Linked DNA regions of Alligator mississippiensis. The protein of the gene in region 1 interacts with the protein of each later gene in a pairwise test. Links are inferred from orthologs where the notes say so. Each region holds a gene or a part of one and is shown on either strand. Other genes may lie near its edges. The genes, in order: SMYD1, FAM204A and ZBTB44.

Region 1 (7,397 bases):
AACCCCCAGCCCCCATGCTACCCCCAGGCCTCAGAGGTCCCGCCAGGCAACACCCGCAGACAAGGGGCCAGGGCACTGCTGACCCATCCAAGGGGCCTGTCTGGGTGGAGGCCCCACAGGAGCTCCGGGCTGGAGGCAGCAGCAGGGCAGAGGCCCTGGCTGCGCTACGTGTCACTACCCCCATAGTAGCCCTTCTCCTCATTCACTTACCTGAAGTCCCTGTCTGAAGCTCCCGTGTACTCCTGCCCATGACTGGCCTGAGAGCTGCCTGCAAACTGCTCCCCTTTGGCAGTCCCTGTTCACTGGCTCCCTGGTCACAGGCTCTCTGGTCACCTGGGGGGTCTCCTTTTATACCCTTCTGGGCCTGGGCTCACTCAGGCCGAGGCAGCAATCACACAGTCAGCAATCCCACAGCAATCAACAGTCACTTAGCACTCAGCGCTCACTTCCAGCTTCTCAGAGCACACACCTGCCAAACAAACAGACAGCCAGCTAAACCAAAGGTACAGGCAGCTGGATCACTTACCTTTTCTGGGTAGGATCTAGTGCCTGGCCTGGCTTCTCTCCCCCTCCCTCCCTCCCTCCTCTTGCCTCCAACAACTGCCTGCAAACTGCTCCCCTGTTGGCAGTTGCTGTTTGCTGGCTCCCTCATCACAGCTGGTTTTTTAACATGTAATGTTAAAAGAAAAGGTATCAAACTGCAAGGAAGTTACTAATGGACTTCTTGAAGGATCAACCTCTGGAACAATCTTGTTTAACATTTTCATTAACAGCCTTGACACTGTAGCAGGTCCAGTGCTGGGGGAGCAAAATCACCTCTCTGGGTATCTGCCTAAACTTTACTTGCCCCCTCTGACCTCTCAGGGTCCCACCCTGTTATCTTTCCTTCCATACCTTTATGTTATGATTGGACAGGGAGGGTGCCCCTAAGGTAGGGGAGTTGTGAGTGTTAGGCCCTTGTTTGGGCTGAGGCCCCCTGGCCTGGGTCCACTTTACTCTGGCTGGGCCCCTCCACCTGAGGTCCACTGTCTCAGGACTGTAGGCTCCTGGGCCCCAGCTCCAGCCACACCCTTGTAGGCTCTGGGCCTTTTGGCCCCTGGTCTCACCCTTGTGGGCTCTGGGCCCCTCAGCCCCTGGTCTTGCCCTCATGGGCTAAGGCTTGCACCCCCAATCCTTCCACTAACAGCAGCACTAGACCCTTTGAAGGGTCTAGGACCTGGTGTGTCCTTGGCACCATTCTCGGTGGCCTCCTCCACCCCTATAGCCACAATCTGGTCTTCCAGTATTTAAACACAAATGAAAAGATATGAGCATTTGCTCTCAAACAAAAGGTTCCCCATCCTGGATTAACACCACACTGTGGGAAAACCACCATGCCGGGCCCCAAAATACTTATCTTTGGCTGCCAGGTGTTGCAGGGGCTTCCTGCAGCATCCCTGCAGCCTGAAGTCCTTCCTCCTTGTCCGGTCAGGCCCTAGTCCTCCCTGGAGCTCTGCTTCCTACAGCCTGTGGGGCCAGACTGCCCAACTTGCTTCAGGTCCTGGGCTTTTATCTCTCTCTCTGGGGTACTTGAGCCACTACTTCCACCCCAGGCTTGTCAGTCACTGGCTGCACCTGAGGCAGGCAGGCATTTTATTCAAGGGCCTTCTGCCACCATCAGTTTGTCCAGGAGGCTGGAGTTGGCCAGCTGATCCTCAGCTCCCTCTCTCCTTCAGTAATGGGGTAGGAGTCCCATTGCACACACAAAATTGAGGAGTATGCTGACGGCAAAAGGTTAAAAGTATCATTCATATAGAGGTATATCTCATATCAAATCAAAACATGAAGCACTGAACTGCTATTGACTCATCTGTTTCTAACTGGTGTCCACTCTTCAACTGATGCACTTGCATTCATAGGAGTTGAGCATGAATATCAAGACAGATGTGATCAGCTTCAGCTTCTTGACTGGAAGGGATTCTTGTCTTTTGCCATTGCAGGGCTACTTCTTCGCACTCATAAGTTGGTGTGGTAGGGCACCAAGAGACAAAAGATATTGTAACAAATCCAAAGCCTTGGACTGCAGTTTCCCCTCTTCTGCACAGCGTGACTGCTCAGATGTTTGGATGGCAGCAGTACAACTCAGATCCTCTGCTTCAAAATCACAGACCCCCCCCAGTAGTGTTTAGCAATAAAGGTAGGTGTCTGGTTGGCTGGATAGCAATCAGAGCACTATTACAGATCACATGTGTGCTATGATTAGCCTGAATTTGCTTATGTTTCTGGAAGTAACTAGTTCATGCTTATCAGGCTCAGAACAACCTCGGAGTAGGTATTTATATTACTATGTGATTCCTATCGTTACTTCAGCTATTTTCACTAAAGAAGAATCTCCATTAACTCTTGGCTGCATATAAAGTCTAAGATGCAGAGTTGAGCAGTTTGGAAACTGTCCAAAAGATAGCAGTGGCACTCACGTATGCATGTGTACACACACACACATACACACCCCCCAGCACAGACAGATCTAGGAGGGTGCAGTGGTGCAGTTGCATTATCTCCTCTTCCCTCTCTTCCTGTCCCCACTTTGATTCCTGCTCCACCCAACTTTTAAACCAACTGCCTGGGTGGAGTAGCAGCATTTCTATTCAGGCAGCACTGAAGGAGTCCATTGACTTCTTGGCCCATTATCATTTCCCTGATTCCTGCTACTCTCTCTCCACTCCACGGTGTGTCAATGACTCTCTCTTTTTTTTAATGGTCCTTAATATTAACTTAAGTGTAGACATGGCTGATAGTGAAGTACTGGGAGCACTACTCAGATGCTCAAGATTTTGTTTTATGAATCTGACTAAGAGACATACATTTAAGTAGAATGACTACAGGACTAATGGCACAATATCTTTTGACTTATTTTAACTATTTTTGCCTAATTTGTTGTGTTTTTTTAAAAAACTGTGTATATAATCTATCAAATTAGCACACACTCCAATAATTGTATTTGTTTTTGCTTTGATCTTAAACTAAATCTTATAGTGCTAGCCCCCTAGCATACTAATAAAGCATCTAGGTTCTCTTTACTTGGAGAAAGATATGTGTTCTTTGATGCACCACATGAAAATCCTAGATCCATTTGTGTACACCAGCCTATTACATACTGCTCAAGGTAGATGCCACTCATCCTCCAACTCAGGCAACTTTGGGTGGGCTGACAGGTATTAACCAATTCATCTCTCGATCCCTCAGTTTACCCATCTGTTATGCAGACATAGCCCTTACTTCTCTCACAGAGGGACAGAGAGTCTACATACGTTCATGTGCGCAAGGCACTCTGAATTCCCAGTGATAGATGTGGTAAAATTACTGGGACCTTAGACATACAAAGTATTAATAAATAATACTGAAATACCAAATACCAATGCTGACTGGTTTGTTTTCACAGCAAGACTCTTCTTTCTGTTAACATCAGCAGAAATCTGGAGGGATCCCAGTGACTTCAGTGGTGTTATTTTGGTTTTACACTGATGGGTGCGGGTGAAGGGTAGAAACAATGTCCTATTTTATAAATCATTTGAGCTTGCTGGGGATATTATCCTCTTTTTACCTGCTTTGGGTCCAGTCCATCCTTTGAATTCCATGGAGTTGCATCGGGGATAAACACAGCCCTCAAGCTTGCTAGCATTTCAATGAGTTTAGTCTGTTGAACTCCTGACAGACAGCTAATATGTCATGCCTGCTTCTAAAGAGGCGCCTTCCAGCTCATTCCCTGCACTTCTCCAAGTCACTCAGTTGGCATGTGGCAAGCATCTCTCTTTTGTGCCTGTTTTCTGCAGCAGCAGATGGGGTAATTTTAGCCTGCATGTTTGACAGACCTTCCTCACCCTTGCCTCCAGCATATCTCCTGGAGGGTAAAAATAAAGCAGCATTGTTTGATTTCTGGAAGAACCTAAATGACAGTGGAAAGAACCCCAGACACACAACCCACCCACCACTTACGGCTGTCTCAGCTGTTGGCTCCTGATAGACAGAAGCATGTGGTTTCTAAAAATACCCTGTTAAAGTGAATGCATTCTCTTTCCAATGGGAGAGAATAAATTAAACTTGGTGGTCATAACATATACAAAAGCTTTCAAATGGCAGAAACAATGCCAATGAGTTTTTCAGATGGGCTTTTCCTAATGAAGCTGATGGCACTGGTAATGCATGACCAATCATTTGGCTTCTGTGCTTAGCACTGCATTAAGCTAAAGGGTTTCTCCCCCTCCCCTCCCTTCACCCTCCTATGGAAAATGGGTGGGGGGAGGAGGCAACGTAGTCCATATATAGGACTGGTCCTGGGTCAGGCTGAAGGTGTTGAAATAGCAGGAGTGACAAGAGAGTTGGCTCACTCGCATTAGGAGCTGGGGTTCCCTGACATGACAAAAGGGGGAATGGAGACGGTGGAAGTGTTCACGTCGGAAGACAAAGGCAGGGGTTTGAAGGCAGTCAAAGAATTCCTGTCTGGGGAAGTCATATTTGCGGAGCCTGCTTATGCGGCGGTGGTTTTTGATAGGTAAGAGAAAAGTTATTGTAAAGTAAATGCCAAAGCCTGCTCCTTGCAAAAGTCTGATGTGGCTGCAGCTGGTGTTAACTTGATAGAGTCTGGATAGCATCAGTGAAGGCTGAGAATCTGAGTAGTAACACTTCCTCGTGAGTCATTTGCAGCTTGCCACAACGCTCCTCTCATTAGGACAGAGTGATCATCCCGCTTGTGTGCCTTAAATACACTGTGACCTGCTACATGGACCTGAGCTTACAAAGTGCTCTCAGCTTCCTTCATTGTAGTTGGAGCTGAATTAGTTCAATGGACTGCAATATGAGCGATGCAAGTGCTGTTACAACGAGTCCCTGAGTTCGCTGTAAAAGATCCCACAAGGTGCTGCATGGTAGAGATACAGTATGTCATTGTGCTTTAATTGTGCATATGCCCCCTTAATATATACACAGAGAGAGAGGGCACTAATGCTTAAAGTCAAGAGGTCCTTAACATATTCATGTTACTGGCAGTTTATCAAAACTTGATCTTGCCTAGGTCTCTTTAGTCAATCTTTCACTCGGTGCCTCTTTAAAGACATCACCTGCTTCAAGGCAAATGGTTCGAGACAGAGAACTTGGGAATGTTTTTGTTACTGCTAAAATGGTTTTATGCTCATGCCTGAATGAATGAAGGGAAGCTGCTGTATGACAGTTATCTTTGTAAGCAGATATTAGCTTTTTTGGCTTTTGTTTAAAGTAACCAGCAAGTGAATCCTCATGTAAATGCATGTTTAGTTATGTTATTTGTCTCAAGCTCTTTATTTTTCTATAAAAAATTGGTGGATCAATTTTCTTCACAGATGTAGGCTTTGAGTACCTAATTCCGCCCTTGAGGTCAGTGGGTTCTGCCCAAATAACCTAAAAGCTTCTACACAGCAGGCCATATTCATATTATGTTAATGTGGGAAATCCAGAATAACTTCATTGACCTCAGTGGAATTACTCTACATTTATACGTGAATAATTGAGCACAGAATGTGGCCCAAACATCATAAAGGAGCAACTAACCTTCATGTGCATTGCTTTCGTTCTGTACTTCATAACGGTCTAAACATTTCTCAAAGCACCTTGTAAATGAATCCTGGGGTTGAATTCTGCTGAAAACCTCCAGTGACTTTCGAATAATGTTCTGTATGTGAAATAAGGCAGGACGTTACTTACCTACTAAAGCTTTCTTTGAAAAACATTTCTTTTAAGGAGCTCTAGGGTGGTATCAGACATTCTTTAGTTTTAACTGTCACCATGTAGTGCTTTGCTCGATCGCCCACAATTCAGTGAGCTTGTTTACTAATGCTATGTCATCAGGCAATATCAGAGAATTAATGCTGAATGAAAAAAAGAAGAAAATAAATGTGTGGACTTAGTTACGCTTGTATCTTTTCACTCGTTTTTTCTCTGTCGCTGTAATATCAGTGGGGGTACAGGAGTAAGAACCTAGGATAGTGGTAACAGAGATGTGGTCTTTATTTGCATTTTAATACGTCATTGTAAGAACTGCTCTTGGAAAAGGTGACTGCCACCACCATATAACCTGGACTTGAGTTATGCCTGTGTACCACTTCAGTTAGTCATGCTATGTCAATCCCTGAAATAGATTCAATTGACTGATGGACAGCCAAATCCTGCTCAGAGTGGGCGAGATTCTAGTGCTCATCTTTATATTAGCACCAATGCTAATTTATTGTTGAAATCAATCAGAGTCTTTCCATTACCTTCAATAGGCTTTGCATTGGGCCTTCATTTGACCCGAGGTTGCATTGGAAGCATTGGTTGGGCCAGTGGAACAGGTACTAGTTAACATGAGTAGGGGATGGCAAAATTCAATCCAATCTGCTAACTTGACTTCCATGGAAGTAGGACCAGAACTGATGATTACTGATTTATTCTTAAGCATTGTCTATGATACTGGTAATTATTCCATCCAACCTGAACTAGGCTGAGTCCCAAGGAGCCTGATTATGAACTAGGACTTTTATGAGCAGTTGGTGAATTAAAATGACTCTTAAAGAACACCCAAGTCCAGGAGGAGACAGCAGTGGATTATACACAATGCTCGGACAAGTTCTGTAAAATAAAATGGTTTGATTCATTACTTTCTCTTTAAATGACACTCCACATTGCGGCTAGTGTGAAATAAGGCAACTCCTTCAGGGCCTCATCTACAGATAGCTCATACACCCTTCGTGGGAGCCAGTTATGCTCATGCTAGAGGTCTGGCTTTTCTTCACTTGGGCATTGTCTACATGTACAAATGATGCGGGATGGGTTTACTTCAAAGTACTGTGGAGTAAACCTACCCCAGGCAGGCGTCTACACATGCTGGGATGTGGGAGCAGATTTGCTGCTTGTGGCAGCAGCCTGCACCCACCCCCTCCAGCCCTGCACCAGCCCCCTGCAGCAGTCAGGGGGAGTTCTAGGCTCACCCTGGGTGCTAGCCCTGGAGCTAGTAGGGGGCATGGGGCCAGGAGACAGCTGTCTCCTGGTGGGGACTGGGAGATTGCTCCCTGCCCCCTAGAGCTACCTGCTGCGAGGATGGGCTCTGCCACGGGAGCCTGGGTGCGGACAATGTCCCTCTGCCCTGGCTGCAGGGAGCTCCTGGCCCCGGCTCTCTAACTGGGGGCAGGGGGCTTGGAAAGAGCTGCAGAGAATCCACGCCCAGCCAGGGGCTCACTGCTATCTGTCCCACCAGCGGATCAGAGCAGAGGTCTAGGACCTGCCCCCCCAGCTTTTTCTAAGCCCTGCACCTCAATCACTCATTCAGGGCACGGGGCTGGGACGTGCCCCTGACCAGGACAGTTTCCAACTAGCCCCAGGCTGAGCGGGGAAGTCTGCACATACATCCT
Region 2 (6,957 bases), on another chromosome or scaffold:
AACTGTTAGACCCCAGCAGCTAATGGTGTACAACTTAGTAGCCACTCCCCATCCCCTATCCCATAACACAGGCCAATCTCTTCCTTCAGTGCCCAGTTCTCACAATTCAGTCAAAAAAACCCTGCATCGTCATTGACACAGTAAGTGTCATGAATGTTGTCCTTTAGCTGTCTTACAACTACTGAAAGAATACAATATTTTCAACTGGCTTTATCAAACCGAAATGCTTTTATATTAACTCTCCCAAAACACCTTTTCTGGAACGTTTTCTTTTTTTCCCCTTCTTTCTCTCATTTGCTTGGGCTTTCATTTCACATTTTTTCTTCTGCAGCTCCAGAAATTTCTGTGGGAAGAAGGAAAAGCAAACTCCAAATATTTGTTGGTTGTTTTGTTTTTTTAGTGAAGCAAAAAGTATTTGAAAATGTTACTCAAATTCTCATTTTATTTTTTAAAATCTCACTATTATGGGGACCCTTTATATACTGTGACAGTCAGTTCTCTGCTGGTATTGAGTGGCAAATGTTACACACAACTAACTCTGATCTTCATCCCTGCATAATCTCTATAACCTCCTAGTGCCTTTACCATAATCCCCCCAGTTCTTCAGAACATTCTCAAAAGTTTTTTTTTCATAAAATGCACAACCAACATTAAATATATCAAAGGTATAACACTGAGCAATACACAGTCTTCTAATATTCAGTTTAGCTAGTGCTTTGTCATCCACAGATGATTGGCAGCAAACACCTTGTATGATTACCTATAGATATGGACTGATACCTATAGATATGGACCTATAGATACACACTTGTTTTTACCAATCCTTATGCAGAATTCTAACCCCATTGTTAGGCATCAGTGTAGACTGGTCAGAGCTCATTAGCATGATATACTCAGTCTTCTCTGATGCACAAATCACAAAAAAGGTTTTGTAATCCAATTACATTTTGATAGAGAATGGCAGAGTTTAAAATGGAATTTATGGATACACAATTTTTGCTAAATAGGTCTGACCTATTATGCAGATTGGACATATGCTTAACTGCTAGTCTTAAAAAAGAAAATACAGTTGAAAAAGTATTTCAGGTGCCCAGATTCCAAAGCAAACAGAAAACTAATGAATCTGTTATGCCTACATCATTTCTCTCCTCTACCCTTCAATTTACCAATCAGTTAAGAAAGCAAAGAAAAAAAAAAGGGTTAAAATACCTGCCTCAAAGTCCCTCAGAACAGATCCTTGAACTTGTTTCTAGTAGGTCACAGATTACATTTTATTCAAACTGCTTTGTATTTGTCCTACACACATTCACTATAAAATATCTGAATTCAAATATTTTCATTCAATTCTTACAAAAATATTTATAAAATGTCATACTGAATAAATATTATCTATGCAACACTGAAGTACGTTACACTTATATTTTGGACATTTAGAAATATCTAATCATACCCACATTCCACATATTTAAAGAAATTCCAGAAGGGCATGGTTGACATGTATTTTCTCCATCTGTCACTGATACAGAAGTACTTTCAGGTCCATCTATCTGGAAATCAGACAATTGAATTCCCTTGACAGCCTCTTCTCTATCATCCTTTGTGCACGATGCAGGACCATCTGCTGCATCTCCATCATCAGAGCTCAAGTCAACATCACTTTCATTCACACCTGGTGGTAAAAGCCCACTCCACATCTTCTAGTCTAAGCAAGAGCAAGACACCAAAAACATCATGTGAATTTACCTAGAATCTGCAGCTAAAAATACAGCTAGTCTGCTGAAGAACAGCGATTTAGAAATAATGAAATACAGCATTACAAATAATTTAAACACTTTTGACAAGAAGAAAACGTAATCTTACTTCCAGGAGATGAGTTTTAAGTGATTTAGGCAAGCTTAGAATTAACGTCGAACATCTTAAGTCTCGTAAACAAGGGCAGCTTACACTCGCACGTTTTAAAAACTCCATTTTGGATAAACAGGACAGACAAAAACAACTCACTTTTTCATTTAAACAATATGACAACGTCTGCTGCTAGAGAACAAAACCATTACAGTTCGGAAGATGCTCACTTTAGACAAATTCTGAAGCATACCGAGGACTGGATTTCTGTTTAAAATGCATACAAACGAATTTGGAAAACGAGCATTTAAAATCTACATTGGCTTTCGCACTCACTGTTAAAACACGGCCTCGTGCATCTCGCTTAAAAATACAACGCGCAAAGATAGATCGTGTCGCGGCGGGACCGGATCCCGTTCTACTTCTGAGTCTTGAGTACTGAAATCTCTTAAATCGATTTTGCTCCAAGAGCAGGATTATGTCCCAGATACTTTTCGAGTCTGCCTGAAAAGTGAATAGGAAGCTTCCTTCCAACTAAGCTCTAGTCTTCAGAAAAAGAGCTGGGTGGGGAGGAAAGAGAAAGAGAAGCAGCACCCGGGCAAGGCAAGACGTGAGCAGAAAGATGTCGGAAACACCCTCCTTGACCCCACCCGAGACGGGCCTCACCCCTCTCTCACAGACGTGCTTTTTTGTGGTAAAGGGAAATGCGAGTGTATGTATATACACCCCAGGCAAGAATCAGCTCGATGGTGCCACGACTGGCACACAGGTGCTGCCGGCTCCGGCCGACCATCCCAGCGCTGTTGTCTGCAGACCCTGGAGAAGGGGCCAATGACAGGCCAGTGACCGGCCCCAACCCTCCAGCTCCGGGCTCGCAGGGTGAGACCCCGCGCACCAGCTCTCCGCTCCTCGCGGCCCCCCACCGCGCGCCAGGACCGGCCTTTACCTGACCCCCCTCCCACGAGTGCATCCGCGGGACAAACGCGGCTCCCAGAGGACGAGGAGGGGGAGAGGCCGCCCCACGCTCGGGGGCTGCTCCCAGCGGTGCCCCGAGAAGGAGCCATCTGACGCCCACCGCAGCCTGCCCCAAGCCCGGCCGCCACCGCCGCGCCTCGCTCACCGGCCGTGTTTACCGCGCCGCCATCTTGACACTCCACTAACACCGCGGCCCGCTATTGGGCTCCGCCTCTCGGCCAATCAGCAGCCGCTTTGCTGCCTAGGGTCGCCATGACAACCAGCCTCCGGGTTGGTGGGGGCGGGGGAGTGGGTAGGGGCGGCAGATCCCGCGGGAGCGCGGCCGGGGTGGGGGCGGGGCGCAAACGTCCCCAGTGCTCGGGGACGGAAGTCACCCCAAATCCACGTCCCCCCACGGCTTAAGTGAAACGCCACTAACGTCTATAGCTATAGACATCTATATCTATATATATAGATATAAACATCTCTATGTAGATATAGACATCTATAGACATCTATATATGTAGATATAGACATCTATATCTATATATATCTATAGCTATATAGATGGATATCTATAGATATAGATAGCTGCGTCTATAGATATACATAGAGATATCGAGAGATTATTTGATCCATCTATCTAGAGAGTGATGCTTCATTTTAATCACGGATAGATGTAGATTTGGGGTTACTTTTTTTTAACCGAAAACAGGGATCCTGGTTTTCTCCGATTTAAAAAAAAAAAAAATCCCCAATTTTAGTTAAAAAAACAAACCCCAAATCCACATTTCCCCGTGATTTAAGTGAAACGCCACAAATATACAGAGATATCGTTGACGTTTCATTTTAACCATGGAAAACGTAGATGTGGGATTTTTTTTTTTTAAACCGAAAACAGGGATCCTGGTTTTCTCTGATTTAAAAAAACACCCCCCCCCCACAATTTTCGTTTTAAAATAAGTGACCTCAAATCCGTATTTTCCCGTGATTTAAGTGAAACACCACTGCTACATAGATCAGCGGTTCCCAAACGGACAGGCGGCGCACCACCAATGTCAAACGATACAACCTTAAGTACCGCCGGCACATTTTTGTCATGTAAAGTCATTATAATAAGTCTGTTACTGTGTACCGCTGACAGGTTGTCTGCGTACCACGGGTGGTACCCACACCACAGACTGGGAACCGCTGATATAAATATATATAGATATATAGTGAAGTTTCAATTTAATCATGGAAAATGTGGATTTGGGGTTACTTTTTTTAAAAACCGAAAGTTGGGGATTTATTTTTAATCGGAGAAAACCAGGATCCCCGCTCACGAGGGGGGATTGCTACCGTGTAGCCTGATGGGGGAAGGGAGGAGGGAGGGAGGGACCGCTGTGTGTGGGAGGGGTGGGATTTGGGGGCTGCCCCTCATTCAGGGCGGCGGGGGCCTCGCCTGGGCATCGCTGTCAAGCATGTGGCTAAAGCCCCAGGGCTGAGCAGGGAGGTGCAGGCAGGAGGGGACCCCAGAAGGGCATGGGCAATGCCTTAGCGAGTGTGGTGAAGCTGCCCTACGTGTCGAGCTGGGGCTGGCACTGTTTTTGGGTAGAGTGCCAAAAACACCTGCAACCTCGACTTGTAAGATATTGGTGTGCCAGGGGCGGGCAGCAGGGAAGCCGCGAGGGGCCTGATCTTTGTGGTAGTGCAACCCTAGCCTCTTCCCTGCTTTCTGCCCTGAGGGGCGCATGCCAAGCAAAATGCCTTCGCATGCCATGCTCTGCCACCCATGCCAGGGGCTGCCTACCCCTAGTGTAGAGAAAACCATGGGATGAATAGCTATGAGGGGTGCTAGGGCTTTCATTGGTGCCACAACAAAGGGACTCAAAGACAGGAGGGTAATGTGATGGATATGACGTGTCAGGTAACACCTGGAAATTCTGCTAACACAACAAACCACGATTTGGACCCTGCAAATTGACCAATGTAACCAGTCAGTAACCAGTCGGTTGGTTAAATTGACCAATGTAACTAGTCAGTTACAACCAATCAGTTTGGCCCTATGACCAAAGTAGACATGAGCCCTCCTTAGGGCCAGCTTTAACAATACTGTCCGCAGAGGGCTGAGGGGTTTTCACTCGTGAAAAAAGAACTAATTTAAATCTATGTAAGGAAGTCCAGTGTGATCTCTTGTGCTTAGAAGTGACACACCGAGGGCCTCATAATAACTGTCCTTCAATACCTGGAATGACTATGGCAATTGAAAGACCACCCAAGAAATTTGGAAGTGCCGTATTTGCCAAATCTGGAAGAGTCATCATTTCTACGGGAAAGATTGAAGAAAACAACAATGAAATCCTGACCGTTGAACTCAATGGAATTACAATCACTTCAGCCTACAAACCACCTAACACGAGTTTCACCATTAAAGATACACCAGGTATCACTCAGAATAAACCACAATGGGGCTACAATGAGACCAATAAAGACAGCAAAGTAGTAGAAGCTTGGTCAGATGCATATCAGCTGAGTTTGATTCATGACCCAAAGCTACCTAAATCATTCAACAGTGGCCCCTGGAAATGAAGATACAACCCAGACCTTATATTTACTGGCAACACCATCACTGGGCTAAGTAATAAAACGGTATTAGACTCCACTCCACATCCTAGCATCAGCCAATTGACATTCAGATCAAAGCCTCAGTAACACCTATAACAGTGCCATTTTGCCAATGTTTCGACTTTAAAAAGGCAACTGGAAAAGCTTTTCAGAATACCTAGATGCCACAGTCGAAACCATCAAAACATTGCCCGAGGACTAAGACCAATTCATAAAAGCTGTACAGAAGTCTGCAAGGAAAAACATCTGTGGGGCTAGTGCAAGAATTATGTCTCAGGCCTCACTCCAGAAATCACTGGGCTATATGAAGACTACAGGCAACAGTGTGAACTACAGCCTTTTTCCACAAACGTCATAGCTAGAGGCAGGGAGTTCATGTTAGCCATCACAGAAGAATGCAGGAAATCCTGGCAGACCCTGATTGTTTCAACTGATATGAGTCCTAATGGTAAAAAGGCATGGGTGACAATACGTCAACCGAGCAATGACCCACAAAAGGCAGAATTTCATAATGTCACTGCTAACCAAATTGCTCACCAGATGCTTCTCAGTGGAAAAAGCCCCCACACCAAAAACAAATTAAAAAAAAACTTAGACTGGAAAGATACAAGCACCCAAAAGACCTGGGTTTTACAAGCCCCTTCTCAATGACAGAGTTGAATGCTGGTATCAATGCACCGGAGACCAGGAAAGCAGCTGGCCTTAACAATGTACTTACCAAACAAGTCAATCAATTTGGACACCAGACTTGAGTATGGCTCCTCTCTCTATACAACTTATGCACAGCCAGTCAAAAAATGCCAAAGATATGGCACCATGCTCAGGGAGTGACACTTCTAAAGCCAGGGAATGACTCAAACTGCTTCAGACCTGTCTATGCTATGCCACACATACAAATTGTATGAACGACTCATATTGAACCAGCTTGCTCCATATGTGGATAAACACCTAATCCCTAAACAGGGCAGCTTTCATTGTGGAAAATCAGGAACGAGCCAGCTGCTCAATTTAACTCAACATATTGAGGATGTTTTTGAAAGTGGCCAAATCACTGGAGTTATGTTCGTTAACCTAACAGCCACCTACAGTATGGTTAACCACAGATGACTCCTCCACAAGACCCTACCCTGGAAATGACAAAAGATTTACACTTTATAGAGCTGCTATGAACCCTACTCAAAAACAGACTTTTTTTTTTGTCAAACTGGATGGGAAGTGAAGCAGATGGAGGCAACAGATGAATGTCCTCCCTCAAGGAGGTGTACTTGTCCCACTGTTATATATCAGCTATACAACTGATCAGCCATTTGGTTTGGAAACAAAATGTTTCATCTATGCAGACAACCTGTGCATAACAGACCAAAACCTGGCTTTGAAAAATCCCTAAGTGAGGCACAAATTGGCCTAACCTCATACTACATTGAAAACCAACTACACACCAACCCAGAGAAAATACAAGTATATGCCTTCCATCTGAAAAACCATGAGGCCAATCACCAGCTCAACATTACATAGTCTGGGGCCATCCCACTGGCCAAATCCCGTTTATCTCAG
Region 3 (7,003 bases), on another chromosome or scaffold:
CCCATTACCGACATGGGCTGGCCTCAAGACTTCAGCTTGGAAGAAGAAAGCTTCTATGAAGTCCATAACAATCTGAAGAGTCCTCCAGTTCCCTAGTGGTATATTACCTGTAAATGCTACCAAAAATATTCCCCAAGAGACTTATTCCTGGCAAAACCCCATTTGATTTACAGGAAAGCTGCTTAAAATATTTTATATATAAAATATGCAGATCTACAATCCACACAATAATATGTCGTCTAGTTCAGAAGAGCCATCTTCAACCAATCTTAGCAGCCTGTAGATATTCAAGAATACTTTCAAACTGCCCAGTAAAACTGCTTATTATAGATGAATGTAGGAGTAACACTTCTTATATGCAAGCTAGTGTATACTACATTTAGTTATACTAACAATGCAGACAGGTACATCAGAAAAAACAAATATCTATTTAATAGAAAGTTTGTGCTTTGAGGAACATGCCTTAACTAATTCTTTTGGAACCAAAGAAAATAGCGTTCTGTGAACAACAGTAATACTTAACAAACCAGTCCCTGGCAGAAACTTTGGTTTCTCTAACTCTTTAAATTGGTTAAAACTTGTGATTTACATTAAAGTATCTAATATTTACTATAAAGAGGCTGCCTGCAAACAATGTATAGCTTAAGTTGCTTCCTCCATAACTTGGTTAGAGATGGAAGCTAGAAGAATTGCTGTCAAAGCTTTAGACCCCTCATTTCCTCCCTCTCCCCAGCTCTATACAGGTAACAGTGAAGCTGTGTTGATTTTTATGCATTTGACTCTGTGGACTGTCAAAAAACAGTTTACACAGCAATGCTTCAGTGCTTGTTTTTGTCCGATGACATCACTAGCAGTATCAATTTTGCTACTAAGCAGGCAAGTTAACACATGGACTACTGAGGAGTTTGAAATAAGGGCACGAGCTATTTAAACAGATCTACACAAGGCCGTCTTTCATTTACAGGTTGGGCAGGGAATCTTCACTTTTTTCCAGTGCTTTCAGTTTTGCCAGATATTCAGCAGATTAGCAATTTAGTACTTGCCATTTCAATAATGTAAGTGCACAAGTAAGACAGCCACCACCTAACTTCTGCACTCTTAGATATAAGTGATTTTTAAAGAGTATTATCTCTGAAAATAATGTTTTGTGAAGTTGCTGCCCATAAATAAGACAACTTTTAAGTCCTGTACTCTCCTCATGTCTATGTTACTTTAAATAAGTCCTTTCAGTCAGAAGTTTTTAAGCACTTAAGGCACTGAAGGATTCAGAATCCCCAAATTGTGGCTGTCTGCAGAGGCTGCAAAACTTGAACAGGGATGATTCTTTAATAACTAGCAAGTTAAGGGTGCATCAATAAAAATTCATGTCTCACACACACAGCAAGTACACGCAGACCATATGGTCACAAGGTGTTGGTTTGTTTAGCTGACTACTGGCTGGTACTTCCCCTTCCTTACTACTGGTAACTTCTTCCATACTTGTCTGTTAAAACAAGGAAGCATAGAGGTGCTGCAGAGAAACTGGCTATTAACAAAAGGAAAATGCTACTGTCTGTCTCACTTTAAACCCCGCTATTGGGGCGATGGGTGCTGCAAACACAATGTCACCACTTAGCACAGTAGGAAACAGAACACGAATCTAACACATGGTGCCAATAATGGATACCATCAACAACTCTTCCATGTGTCCAATATCCAGGTTGTAGCTATATTGGTCTAGAGGAAAAAGCAAATCAGGGCTCACGGACAGAGATGATCTCTTTTATTAGACCAGCAAGATATTTGCAAAAAAAAAAAAAGTCTTTAATTTTTTCCAAATATCTTGCTGGTCTAATAAAAGATATCACTTCTGTCCATGAGCCCTGATCAACAACTCTTCACACCTGACCAGCTCTTGAGAGAGCTTGGGAACTGTAGTGCTTCAAAAGAAAATGAAAGACCTACACAAGATGGCTTGAAAAGAAGATTTGGCAGAGACCGACGCTTGAAACTGCCCCAAAGTAATCATTATTTTAAAATTAACGGATAATCACGGCACCTTTATGAAATCAAACCCGCTCGAGTCCCCCGAGTTTCACATCCCCCGACCTGCGGACCTCGCTTCACGTTGCACACGCGTTCCTGGAAAACGGCGCATAACTCGAACCCGCAAGAAGGGAGCCCATTTCACAGAGAGACAAACAGAGATACCTCCCAAGACCTCGACTGTACCGACCCCCAGGCCCATTTCTACCGCTTCCACAAGACCATTTCAGTACCCACCAACAGCAGACAGCGCGCACAAGCACAGGGCGCTATCGTAACGGGGACGGCAACTACGGAAACGTGTGTTGCAGACAACCGGCGAGGAACACAGACCCGCGCACGAGCCTGCGTTTTGGCGCGCGTCACTAGCTCAACGCACCGCGCAAAGCAGCCGCCTGCGGGCTCCCGCCGCGCCGATCGCAGGAGAGCGAGTTTACCTCATGCATAACACATTTTTGGTATAAAAAGGGCCATCGCATAATAGCGAATTCGCACCTACAAAACCCGCACGAAGCGAGGGAAAATGGGGCTCCCCCCGTCAGAAGGAGCTCCCATTTATCCTCCATTTCTTTTTTTCGCTGCCCCAGACCAGACACTTTGGTTTCACAGTAACGTTTTTGGCGCTGCCCCTTTATTCCTCAGGTCGAGCTGGGTTTGCTGTTTCAGTCCTAAGGCAGCACGCCTTTATCAATGCTTTTGGAGCCAAACAAAAGGGCGCTGCGCGCACCCCGCTTCACGGGCACCGTCTTCACGCCGCTTTTTGATTCACCCACTGTCTCGGCCCACCCCGGCGGCACGCGGCCGCGGCCCGGCCTAGTCGGGCGGGACGGGCGCGGGGCGCGAGGCGCTGAGGCCGGACCGGGGGGGGGGGGGGCAGGGCCGGGGGGGGGCGGGGCACCCGAGGAGCGCTCCGGGCCCGGGGGGACGGGGGGGGACACGACAGCGGCCCCGAGCCTCCCCCGCCCCCTTGAGGTCGCCGTTACCTGCGGTGGGTGGGGCCGAGCCCCTATCTGGCCCCGCGCGGAGGCAGCGGCGGCGGCGGCCGGGCCATGGCGGCGGGGGGTTGGCCGGGGCGGCGAGGCCGAGGCGTCGCGCTGCGCTCTCCGGCCTGGCCGGGCACTTTGTTTGTGTCCCACAATGCAGCGCGGCCGGGCGGGGGGGGGGGGAGGGGCCGCGCCGCCCGCAGGCGCACTGGGAGCTGGCGCCGGGCGGCCCGGGGCAGGCGCATGCGCAGACGCGCGGCCGCGGCCGGACCGTGCCGCGCTGAGTGCCCGGCGCGGGGAGAGCGAGTGGGGCTCGGCGTGGGGGCGGGGCGTCTGACGTCACCGGGGGCGGTGTTGCCCCGGACCCCGGGCGCGAGAGACGCGCGGGTGCCCCCGGCCCGGCCTGGCAGGGCGGGGCTCTGGGGTAGATAGCGGAGCAGAGGGTGGGGCAGGGGCAGATAGCAGAGCAGGAGAATGGGCAGGAGCATATAGCAGAATAAAGGATGGGGCAGGGGGCAGACAGCAGAGCAGCAGACTGAGCGGGAGCAGAAAGCAGAGCACCAGATGGGGTAGGGGGCAGAAAGCAGAGCGGCGGATGGGGCGGGAGCAGATAGCAGAGCAGTGGAGGGGGCAGAGGGCAGGGATTGCAGCAGCACTGGGGGCAGGTGCAGGACTCCTGCCGGAGCAGTTGCCCCCAGCCGCAGGGTTGTACCCGGTGGTGCCGCTGCACCTGCCTAGCGGGGCCGGCGTGTCAGGCTGTGTAAAGTGACAAAGTTGGGTAACGCTGCAGCTGCAGGCCTTCCCCACGTGTCGGGCACGGACGCACAACGTGATTCCTGTGGAGTCCTTTACACTAGGTTTTGCTCCATCACAGTAAATTGATTGTGCAAGAAGGAGCTGGCACAACCAGATCTCCCGAGGTAGCTGCCGTCAGCGAGCGCTGTGATCGGCCCTACGCTCCAGGCGGCCGGAGATGCCGGTTGCACTGAGCAAGGAGCTGCAGAGATGAGTTTGGCTGGGGAGCGAACACACTCCCTACCCTGATGTCTAACTTCGTTGCCAGCCCTCCATCATTGCCCTGGAGTCTGCACGAATTAGATCTAAATCTCCAAGAAACTGCTGAGTGTCACTTGGGAAATAAACGATAGGGCATTCATTAAAATAAATATTAAATGTTGAATCCGATTTATACAGTCGTTCAGTGGGTTTTTAAAATATAACAGCAACGTGCATTTGCCTTCCCGATATAATGTCTACACGCTGTAATCCGTAACTGATGTTTGCAGCTCCGTGGGCATGTTCGTGTCGCGTGTCACAGGCATGTTGGCAGTCCCGAAACCTCCCGGAATAGATTCAAACAGCTGGCAACCCTAGGAGCGCCTTGCACTAGCATAAGGCGTAAATGGCATGTCCACTTCATTTTAGCACATAGTACAGTGGGATTGCTCTGTTGACCGCGAACCCCCTTTGAGCCTGACCTTCCTCTCACCCATAGCTTTGTAAATCAGCGGTGTGGCAGACACAGAGCTGTGTGTACTAATCAAAGACCACTGATCTGTGATGGTTTTATGAATGCACCCAGGTCAGTGAGGCAGTAACCCAGTGGATACGTTGGCTTACTAGGCTTCCCTGTCTGGATGTATTGATCTAGCTTAGAAATGGGCTGTTGGAAGAACAAGCAGGAAGGCAACATAACAGCTCCCAGCTAAACACATCTCGGCTCACACTTGAAAGGCGGCAAGAAAAGCTCCCCTCCCTGCTCCGTGGATCTTGTATGCTGTTGCCAATAAAAATGCAAGCCTGTTTGGGCAGCAGTGGGTGTTAGAGATCAAAGGAAGGGTGAGAGGAGATGGGAGGAGAGCTTGTTCTTTCTGCTGAGAACAGACTGGGATGGAGGTGAGACTGGGTCCACTGGGAGTGTCTGGAAGCAATTGAGCACTTCCAGGGAATGGGAAACCATCAGCAAAGACAGACAAATGTGTAGACTGTTCACTGCCTAAGATCCGTTTCCTTTTAAATGCTTTTGTTTTAAATAAATACCAGTTTGCAATCAGAGGACTGTCTGCCTGGTGACTTGTTATGCTGTCCTAGTTTCTGGAAGGACCAAAGCTGCAGGTCCTAATCCTAAATCAGCCCTGCTGAGATAATCACAGCCAGTACCTGAGGACTGTAGTTGAGATTTCACTGAAAGGGGCAGAATCGCATTGAGACGGGTGATAGCTTGAAGCATGAAACCAGAGAAGGGAGGGTGGCACTCCAGGATGACAGTAGGAAGAGGTCACAAGTTCAGTCAAACCAGGAACTGTGATGGGGGGGTCACTTTACTGATGTCCCTGGACTTATATAAGTATAAAACCAGGGGAAGTGTAAAGGGAATTAGATTTATGCTGCCAAAGACTCAGTCAGCCAGAAGAAGGCAGTTTGGTTGTGGGATGCAACACATTCTTCCTTGTACAAGTGTGTAAAGAACAACCCCTAGCTTGTTTATCGCATGGTTTGGGAGGTCGTGGGTAAAGCCATGCATCACTGGAGGCATGAAGACATGGGAATGGACAGCGATCATGGCCCAGGACCTCAGCTGGCGCAAGCCATCATATTTCCATTGAATGAGGTCTGGCCTAACATCCAGATATATATTTTTTTGCATGTGAATTATGAAAATGCCCAATAGAGAAACCCCATTGGAGTCAAGCGTGGAGGGGCTGGGGCAAGCATTTGCAGAATTAGGAACTCAGCTTTCCATGAGGAGGCACTTCTGCCTTCCACAGCAAATACCACATGGTTTGTTAGCAGGCTGATTTTGTGCGTACATACCCAGCAGCCGGATTAACTCAGCCGACTGCGATGGTTACTCAACTGCCACCGAGTCAATGAGAATGGCCTGTTGACCTGTTGTAGTGCAGCAGGCTCTGCTAGTTGCATGGCCTCCTTCTTCTGGGTTGCTTAAATCCTATTTCCAGCTCTGTTTTCCCAGCCCTGACTGATTCATTTGCTCAGACTTTGACAGCTGTGTAGGACTGAAGCAAAGTGAAGTCATTATCTTAGCATGTGTGCAGATGCCAAGTTACATAGGTTTTAGCAGCATGACGCAGCTGCTTGGTATTTATCACACGGTCATACTGGGACAGGACCATTCCATGCAGTCATTCACATGTCCCTCTTTCAGCGGCAGCCAAGTCTGCCAAATGTCCATCTGGGGCTGGTCAGCAGTTCTGACTTGCCTTCCCTCCTTCTCATGCCACATGCCTCATTCTGCAGTATCTTGCTCACCGCTTGGCCCAACCACTACTGAAGTCAATAGAAAGTCTCCTATAGCCTTAAAGAGCTTTGAATCAGACCCCCAGCAAGAAGGATCTCTTTTGTACCTTATTTAATTTCTTATTCTTAAAAAAAACCCCTGTAATGGTGCCCCTGATCCAGAACACCTGGCTGAACTGTTGGTGTGTCTTGCTGAATTTTTAATCAGCAACAGATCATTTTGGTTTCAGAGAGACAGAGCTGGAATTTGCTAATGAGTTTTGTTTCACTATGCAGAGCTCTCTGGGCACTATACAGCATTGGGAAGGGACACTTGTCGCCTGGCCCATCAATGGCATGTAAATATAGCTGTATTGCATATAGTTGTCACATTTGCATCCTTTAGGTTTATAAGAGATGGCTCTTGACTAACAGGAGAGTCTTCCCACTCTGGCAGAAGAGGACTGCTTTTACTAAAAAGTATTCATCAGGCCTCAACCCCTTCAGAAAAGATTCCAACAGGAGCTCCATAAGCCAAATTGTTAGCAGGATACTTGTAAATCAATGCAGCAGCTGTATCAAATTTATTCCAGCCGATAATTTGGCTTCTTTTTTCTTATGATACAAGGTCATCTTTATTTACTCTGGGCTTTTTCTGTTGAACTGGTCATTTCACAGTGAGAAGCAATGGTACCTCCAGGTTATCCCAAGGGCATTGATATTAATTGTATCAGAGTGCTTCTGTCTGGATGGAATCG

What was found.
Region 2: the proteins of SMYD1 (region 1) and FAM204A interact in binary tests that used the Homo sapiens proteins (3 or more experiments, as listed by UniProt). The link is inferred for Alligator mississippiensis from reciprocal best matches to the Homo sapiens genes SMYD1 and FAM204A.
Region 3: the proteins of SMYD1 (region 1) and ZBTB44 interact in binary tests that used the Homo sapiens proteins (3 or more experiments, as listed by UniProt). The link is inferred for Alligator mississippiensis from reciprocal best matches to the Homo sapiens genes SMYD1 and ZBTB44.

Annotation. Positions count from the first base shown.
Region 1 is NC_081825.1:14,314,439-14,321,835, reverse strand, and holds the start of SMYD1 (histone-lysine N-methyltransferase SMYD1), read left to right. Parts: upstream 1-4,323; 5' UTR 4,324-4,394; coding exon 4,395-4,531; intron 4,532-7,397. UniProt on the Homo sapiens protein: Methylates histone H3 at 'Lys-4' (H3K4me), seems able to perform both mono-, di-, and trimethylation. Acts as a transcriptional repressor. Essential for cardiomyocyte differentiation and cardiac morphogenesis.
Region 2 is NC_081829.1:88,520,498-88,527,454, reverse strand, and holds the start of FAM204A (protein FAM204A), read right to left. Parts: upstream 3,040-6,957; 5' UTR 2,963-3,039; intron 2,895-2,962; exon of another isoform or gene 2,789-2,894; intron 2,512-2,788; exon of another isoform or gene 2,179-2,511; intron 1,703-2,178; 5' UTR 1,695-1,702; coding exon 1,455-1,694; intron 344-1,454; coding exon 253-343; intron 1-252.
Region 3 is NC_081839.1:25,691,240-25,698,242, forward strand, and holds the start of ZBTB44 (zinc finger and BTB domain-containing protein 44), read right to left. Parts: upstream 3,098-7,003; 5' UTR 3,009-3,097; intron 1-3,008. UniProt on the Homo sapiens protein: May be involved in transcriptional regulation.